2 linked regions of the Tribolium castaneum genome follow. The protein of the gene in region 1 interacts with the protein of each later gene in a pairwise test. Links are inferred from orthologs where the notes say so. Each region holds a gene or a part of one and is shown in the gene's direction. Other genes may lie near its edges.

The links.
Region 2: the proteins of pins (region 1) and Galphao interact in a two-hybrid assay, tested with the Drosophila melanogaster proteins (3 studies listed by BioGRID, with this or other methods). The link is inferred for Tribolium castaneum from reciprocal best matches to the Drosophila melanogaster genes pins and Galphao.

The regions. Positions count from the first base shown.
Region 1 is NC_087394.1:36,920,271-36,924,741, reverse strand, and holds the start of pins (G-protein-signaling modulator 2), read left to right. Parts: upstream 1-1,588; 5' UTR 1,589-1,729; coding exon 1,730-1,774; intron 1,775-1,835; coding exon 1,836-2,068; intron 2,069-2,115; coding exon 2,116-2,394; intron 2,395-2,709; coding exon 2,710-2,949; intron 2,950-2,997; coding exon 2,998-3,262; intron 3,263-3,311; coding exon 3,312-3,491; intron 3,492-4,277; coding exon 4,278-4,471. Other genes in the region: RpL28 (large ribosomal subunit protein eL28), read left to right, coding at 135-263, 314-511; Samtor (S-adenosylmethionine sensor upstream of mTORC1), read left to right, coding at 571-1,500.
Region 2 is NC_087396.1:19,009,936-19,013,761, forward strand, and holds the end of Galphao (guanine nucleotide-binding protein G(o) subunit alpha), read left to right. Parts: intron 1-1,547; coding exon 1,548-1,701; intron 1,702-1,755; coding exon 1,756-1,943; 3' UTR 1,944-3,783; downstream 3,784-3,826. UniProt on the Drosophila melanogaster protein: Guanine nucleotide-binding proteins (G proteins) are involved as modulators or transducers in various transmembrane signaling systems.

The DNA.
Region 1 (4,471 bases):
GATGATTTTTACCACCAAGATCTCCGAAAGTTGTGACGATCACTTAACTTAGTCTGAAGTTATAAAAAAAATACATCAAATTTATAGTTACATGCTCAGATGTTGCACAATTTTTTTTTTTTTTTTTTTTTTAGGAACCCAACAATTTGACAAACTTGAGTTCGTACAGATATAACGGCCTGATCCACAAAAAAACCGTTGGTATTGTGGACGCGCCTGATAAGAAAGGCTTTACTGTCGTGTACAAAAAAGCCAGTAAACAGGTAATTCAAATCCATGATTTTTTGGCCCATGTTTGATTTTTTTAATTTAGAATAAACCAAGGCAATGTATCGTGAAACGCACGATGAAATCGGGCCCCAGACGCTCTTTGGCCAAGCTTGAGAGGCTTTTGAAGGCCAACAAATACCGCACTGACTTGTCCAAGGCGGCCCTTCGCAGAGCCAGTGCCGTCCTCAGGTCACAAAAGCCCCTCCCCGCCAAAAAACCCAAGGCGAAGAAACCAGAATAAGAAATTAATAAAAATTTCGTATTAAAATTTGTTTGATTTTTCGAACATAACCTTACAAAATGGCCACGTCGGAACATTTACAATCAGCGAATTTTGTTAAATCGGTGCACCAAAAATTGCGAAGTGATGCGAAAATCATGGGGGCTGGTAACGCATGGCGTAGGCATTGTGAAAATGGGGAGAATCTTGCGAAATATGCCTCTGCCATGCAAAATTTGGCTACGAATCATTGGGAGAAAACTACAAACTCTAGGGCTGTGTCAAGAGTCGAGTGGGTGCATAGTTTTTGCCTCAAATATTTTCACGAAGAAATATTCAAACAGAGACAACGTGAGGTTGAAATTGCAACGAAACTTAACCTAAAAGTGCCTGATCTTGTGTTAGGTGTTAAAAACCAATACGAGTTATTGGATGTGGGGAGTTGTTTCAACCCCTTTGCGAAATATCAGTGTTTCAGTGTCACCCCCATAGACATAGCCCCTGCCACTAGTGATGTGTTAAAGTGCGATTTTTTAAATGTGGACCTAACTTCAAATCAGTATAACCTTCAAAAAAATTCGTTTGATGTGGTTGTCTTTAGTCTTTTGCTTGAATATTTGCCTTCACCGGATCAGCGACACACTTGTTGCGAAAAAGCCTACAATTTATTAAGACCAGAAGGCATTTTACTTATTATAACCCCCGATTCTAAACATGTGGGAGCCAATGCAAAAATAATGAAATCTTGGCGTTTTATTTTAGCCAAAATGGGTTTTTCACGCATCAAATACGAAAAACTAGCCTATTTGCATTGCATGGCGTTCAGGAAAAGTATCAAGAGTGAAATCGCGCAACGTTGGGCCCTTTTACAAATTGAGAAACCTTTTTACGAGGAAATTGTTATCCCGCAAGATTTTAACAAAATTGAAACACCCACGGGTGTGGTTTGTGACAGTGGTGATAATTGTGAAGTGTCTTTGTTCGAGGAATTGCCCCAAAGTTTTGAATAAATTTTGTTTTTTTCTTTGATGGTGTTTGATTTAATATGCCCGCCTAATCCCAAACACAAATTCCCCCAGATTTGTTGAAAATCGTGACAGTTGCAGGAAGAGGAGTGTTGTGTGTTTTGACAATTGTGCGTTTTTATTGTTGTTTATTTGCGTAACAATGAAAGAATGAGCGGGTGATTCATACCTCAAGTGCTTTTAATTGCTTTAATTAATCGAATTAACGTTAAAAATGTCCCTGAGTGCTAGTGCCGAGAACCTGACTGTGGAAACACAGGTGTGTCCCTTTTCCTTATAAAAGCGCCCCAAATCGGGCAACTGATTACAATAATTTTAAGGACTATGACGGTTCGAGCAATATGTGCTTAGAGTTGGCCTTGGAGGGCGAGCGTCTGTGCAAGGCGGGCGACTGCAGGGCAGGAGTGGCTTTTTTTCAGGCCGCAATCCAGGCCGGAACTGACGACTTGCGGACGCTCAGTGCTATTTACAGTCAGCTCGGAAATGCGTATTTTTATCTAGGAGATTATGGCAAAGCCATGCAATATCACAAACATGATCTCACTTTGGCCAGGTATTGACTAATCAAACGGTTGCAATTATTGATGGTGGCTTGTTTAGGACAATGGGTGATAAACTGGGCGAGGCGAAGTCTTCGGGAAATCTGGGCAATACTCTGAAGGTGATGGGGCGGTTTGATGAAGCTGTGGTGTGTTGTAAACGACATTTGGAGCTTTCGAGAGAATTGGGCGATAGGTTGAGCGAAGGCAGGGCGTTGTATAATTTAGGAAATGTTTTTCATGCCAAGGGGAAACATATCGGGAGGGTGGGGCACAAGGATCCGGGGGATTTTTCAGATGACGTCAAAGGGTGTCTCCAAGAAGCTGTCTCTTATTATGAGTAAGTTGGTTCACTGATAAGAATTTTATCACCGTGATAAGAAGAGGCTGTGCTTCTTTACTTTACTGAGAAGAATTTAAATTTGATCAAAGCTTGTGTTAAAGTAGAAATAAAATATTAATAATTTTTCCAAACTTCAAATGAGTTGTCGTGGACAGTGTGAAAATATAATTTTCTTGTCGGAAATATATTTTGACGTTATCTTTTTAATTTCGTATTTATGAACGCATAAAATCCCGCTATAAGCACACCTCTCGTATCAATAAATAATTCCCAGAAATACGATATTTATCAGTGGTCGCTTATTATTTCAAGGGAAAACTTAACACTGATGCGTGAACTGGGCGATATAGCGGCACAAGGAAGAGCTTGTGGTAATTTGGGCAATACGTTTTATTTATTGGGTGATTTCGCGCAAGCGATACATTACCATGAAGAAAGATTATCAATAGCGAGACAATTTGGTGATAAAGCGGCCGAAAGAAGAGCACATAGTAATCTCGGAAATTCGCATATTTTTATGGGACAGTTTGAAGAAGCCGCCCATCATTACAAGTAAGCCATTAGAGAAAAATAGCTAGAAGTGAAATTGTTTTTTTTTAGACGAACTCTAGCCCTGGCCCAGGAATTAGGCGACCATGCAGTCGAAGCTCAGGCTTGTTATAGTTTAGGCAACACTTATACGCTATTGAGAGATTACGAAACTGCCATTGAATATCATTTGAGACATCTTTTGATAGCGCAAAATTTGGCCGATCGCATTGGGGAAGGTAGGGCGTGTTGGTCATTGGGTAATGCAAACGCATCGTTGGGTAATCACGAAAAGGCGCTACAATTTGCCAAAAAACACCTCGAAATTAGTAAAGAGGTAAAACGATTTGTTATTGTTTTTTTGTGTAAAATAAAGTTGGGTTTAGTTGGGCGATCCAATGGGTGAAGCTACAGCGAAAATGAACATTGCTGACTTACGAAAAATCCTCAATTTGCCTGATAGTCCCGAATCGTGTGACAGTGATTCCCCGAAAGAGAATGACGTCACTCACCAGAGGATACAAAGGGTGAGACGTGAAAGCATGGAACAGCTTAGCCTGATTAAGGTAGTGGTTTATTTTTTTTTATTTTTGCGCTGGTTCTTTTGACGTAAGTAACTTTTTGTTGTGTGGCGTAATGTTTAATCGATTAACGTACGAGCAGTTATTTTTATCCGTTGTTTGGTTTTTGTGTCGCTAATTGCATTATGTTTGCAAAGAAAATTAAACAATAACAACGGAAATTTGCATTAAAATTATTACGTTGCTTATTCTAAACTACAAACGGATTTAAATAAAATATACTGAATTATTTCTTATAACTAAAATTTAAAATTAAAAATATAATTACAAACAAAAAATTAATCGAATTCTTGTTCCAAAACCACTTGAGATCCTACACTAATTTATAAACAGTCCGTATAATAACATTAGTATTTTTACTTTTGTTTTGAGTAAGTTTCGAATATGACTTATTTCAGTATTTAATTAATACTTTTAGAAAAAAACAGCTCAAATAAATCAGTTTGTGATCATAATATTTCAGTTTATTTCCACTCATAGCTTATGCAACAAGTGCTAAACACACGTTTAATTGCATTCTGTGTCACTACGGAAATTTTTGTTTGCTGCATGAAATTTGCTTGCTTCATAATCTCTAAATATTGTCATTGAAAAATCTGGCAATTTTCCAAGCTTCTTTCGTACTAAATAACAGACAAAATAAACAGCGATCTATTGCGCTTCACGATGATGCAAAATAGATCAATTAGTTGTGAACGCGTCGGTGTTTTGCATCGTCCAACAGAAATTTATAAATTAAACAACACTTGACGTCAAAACACCGACTTCCAGTTGACACCCGACGGCAAACAACGTCCCGGCTTCACACTTCCACCAATGAAATCAGCCCCGTCACCAACTAAAAACGAAGATGACGATTCCTTCTTCGATTTGTTATCCCGCTTCCAATCGAAACGTATGGACGACCAACGTTGTTCCCTCACTGTTGACAACAACAAGGAAAACACCAACGTGGTGAATCTGCC
Region 2 (3,826 bases), on another chromosome or scaffold:
AGTGTATTACACAAAAATACAGACTAGGTACCGACAGCAATTTTAGAAAATGTTGAATGTGAAAGCATTAGTCATATGAAGACCATCCTCGAAATATATAATACTTATAGATTTCTTTATCATTTTTCAATTTTTAATAAAAAAGAGTGACGAAAATGCAGACAAATCATAGACAAATTAAATAAGAATGTCTTGTTGCACAGCATTTGATGAAGAAACTGAAAATGTATTACTGTGCTAATTTTGAAAGTAAAGCTGAAGATTAATTTAGATTTCAAATTAATTACAGAAAATTTAAACCCAACAACTTTTTTCGGTATATAAACTTTTTTTTCATTAAAATTTATTCGTCTGTCAGTGAGTTTAATGATTGGACACATGGTATTGATATATCTATCCTCAGGTATTTGATAAGCACGCGTTCAAAGGACAGTCTAAATTTAAACAAAACTTTAAAAGTAAAACATAACCTTAATATTTAACGAAATTTTTAAGGACAAAAACAATGTCTTGACCAAAATTTTGACTTGGGGAATTCCGTTTAAAAAAGAACACACTTTAATTAACTAAAAAGTGCAGAGATAACAAAATTTTGTGAATAGTAACGATCTAAGCAACGGCAAAAGAAATGTTTTCTCTATTTATTTGATCCCCGGTATTCGCATGAAATTGAAGATTCACTTACTCAAAATCTCTCAAATATTCCATTACCTACATAAAATCATTTCCGAATTCTCACTTTCTAAATAAACGAATCTTGGTATGTGAAAAATATTGTAATAATTTGAAAATAATTGTGTGTAATTTTTGTGCTTTACTTTACTAAACTTTGTAAGAAATTGAATAAGCATAATAATTGTGTATTTGTTACGCTATAAATATTTTTTTGACGAGTGACTCCTTCAAGTTTTGGGACGTCGAGTCTACAAGGGGCGCTTAATCCGCTTCTGTAGTATATTCCATAATGTGGTTATCTAACATAGCAAGGGTGGGTTTAAAACAAATAGTTTCCTGTTCGTTACGTTATTAATAGAACCGTCAAACCAATTTTAATGGAATTTAATCTTTCATTACATCAAAGGAAAATTTCCGGGAAGCCTATTTTTGTAGGTGCATTAATTTTCCAACATTATTCCGCGATTTTTTCCTCGTTTAATTCCAAGCTCCAAATAGCTCAATTTGATTTGTCAAGTGGCACCGAGTGCTCTCAGCCTGAAAGCCAGTTAAAAAATTGAATGCGGAGGGTGGATTCTACCACCAAATCGCCGAAATCACACAATAATAAAATTTTCGCAAAGAAATGCGTTACTAAGTTCTGTGACAAATGTGTTTTACTCATTTATGTTGAATTTCATTCGTCGCAATTAATTCATCGCGCGATGACGTCAACGTATTTAATAATAATCAGTCGAAATGATTGTATCTGGGTATAAACAAACGTCACGGGAGTTATACCATATTTCATTTTATTGATTGGGAAAGTTTCTATTCCCTAATTTCTAACTTTATCATTGGAACTTTGCAGTGATCAATTTTTTCTGTTCCAGAACCGAATGCAGGAGAGCTTGAAGCTTTTCGATTCGATCTGTAACAACAAGTGGTTCACGGACACGTCTATAATCCTCTTCCTTAATAAGAAAGACTTGTTCGAGGAAAAAATTAGGAAGTCGCCTTTAACAATATGTTTCCCCGAATACGCAGGTATGGGTTTTGGTTGTGTTGAGTGATGATTTTTGAGGGCGCGTTTTGTTGAAGGTGCGCAAGAGTATGGCGAAGCAGCGGCGTACATCCAAGCACAATTCGAAGCGAAGAACAAATCGACAACAAAAGAAATCTACTGCCATATGACCTGTGCCACAGACACGCATAATATCCAGTTCGTATTCGACGCAGTCACTGATGTGATCATAGCTAATAATCTGCGCAACTGCGGCCTCTACTGAGAAACCTCTCATTACTATTCCTTTTCATACATTATTGACTTTAGTACATGGTTAAACCAAAAAAATACAACAGACATGGTAGTGCCGGTGTATTTGCTAAACGTTGCGGTATTTCTCGGCCAGGGGAAGTCCCGGCAACGTTTGCTGTTATAATTGTACCAAAGTTGAGTGAGATGTGTTCTTTTCTGTTGATCGATGACCTGGTTGGTGAGTTGACACAATACAAGGGGTAGCTTTCCTGTGCTTGATAATAACATCGGTTGACAAACAGTTTATTTTTCTGTCGATTTGTTTGACCTAATCTGTGCACAAAATAATTTGTATACAAGATAGTGTGCCATTAAGAAGAGATTGCATTTATCAACGTATTGTAGTTGCTTTCTTTTTCTTCTAAGTTATTGTTTTTTTTAATATATTACGGTTCAATGTTATTTATGTTTGTATAATTTTAATGAATGAAAAGAGCTATATTGCATAGATTTAGTTACCAAATTTGTAAAAACTAAGTATGTGTTAATGATAATGTGGAACCAAATTATTACTGTCTGGCTCAAGTAGCGTTCATCTACAATATGGTAATTAATATTAATTATAATAAACATTCTAACTATAAAGCCTACTTGTGTGTAATTAGTTTCGTCAAGTATAATACCAAAACATATTTTTCTAGATTTTGTTATTATACTTTACTGTCCGAATTGAATCAGGAAATTATGGACCTTTAAAGAACAGATGCAAATATAATATAATACATTAATGTGTACATAAAAACTATATGGCGCTTTAGCAGATTTGGAGTAGCTTCAGTACCATTTCGTAGTGTAGCCAGTGCATTTACTTTGATCATACTGTAATTTAATGACATGCATTTTAAGTGATACATTCCTCTCTCGACTATTTTGTATCTCCCATTTACGCTTTTTTTACAAGGAAACCAACAAATTGTAAGTGTATCTAATTATTCACTCTCTAATTCACTAAAGCAGACGTTATTTGAATACAATCATCCATTTTAGCGCAAAACTAGTAATTGTCGTATCAGTATATCAAAAGTAACGTAAAATACATAACTCCGACAAGTGGGCACTAAGCGACCTTTGTTCCTTGTTTAGAGTTTCGCCAATTTTGTTGTGTATTCTATGTTAATTTTGCGCATACAACCAAACTGTTATGTAAATTGTAGTATTTAATATCTGGTAGTATCCTATTGAGTCATGATTGAATCTCTAGTCAGTTTATTTTCTAATTGTGACTACGGCATTATAACTTTTTTGTAATTTATTTCAAAAATAAAATAAGATGTAACCCACAATTGTTTTAATGCAGGTTTATGTTGTGCGACATCTACACAGCTAGAGAAAAAGTAGTCCAAAATGGACAATTAAACTTGTAGGTAGGGTGCGGACAATTTTCTTACTTTGAATGCACAAAACGTGGACGAAAAAGTTGCTTTCCTATTAATTATTATCCAAACGATTTTTCACACATTTTTGTACTTGACGTCTCGTGGATTTAAGACATATCTTTCAATTGGTCCTCGGTTGTTTTGTCTTACTTCGACACGCTCATAACGCTACAATTACTATTATTATTCGAATTAAACCATGAGACTGTCCAAGTTTTAGCCACATGTACACGCATACTATTGACTTGTTGCTTTGTTGTGAATAAGACTAATTATAAGAAGATTATTAAAGGTACGGCGCTAGTTAAATGCAGTGAATGATGTACATGTTTTCCAATATCAGTAAATGTAACATTCATAACTGAGGTTGTTCTCTCATTGTATGTTTGTTTCTCTGTGATGTGAATACGATAAATAAATTTTACCCATTTCGAATTTTTATTTGCATTTGCAGGCTCCCAACAACCAGCTCAAAACC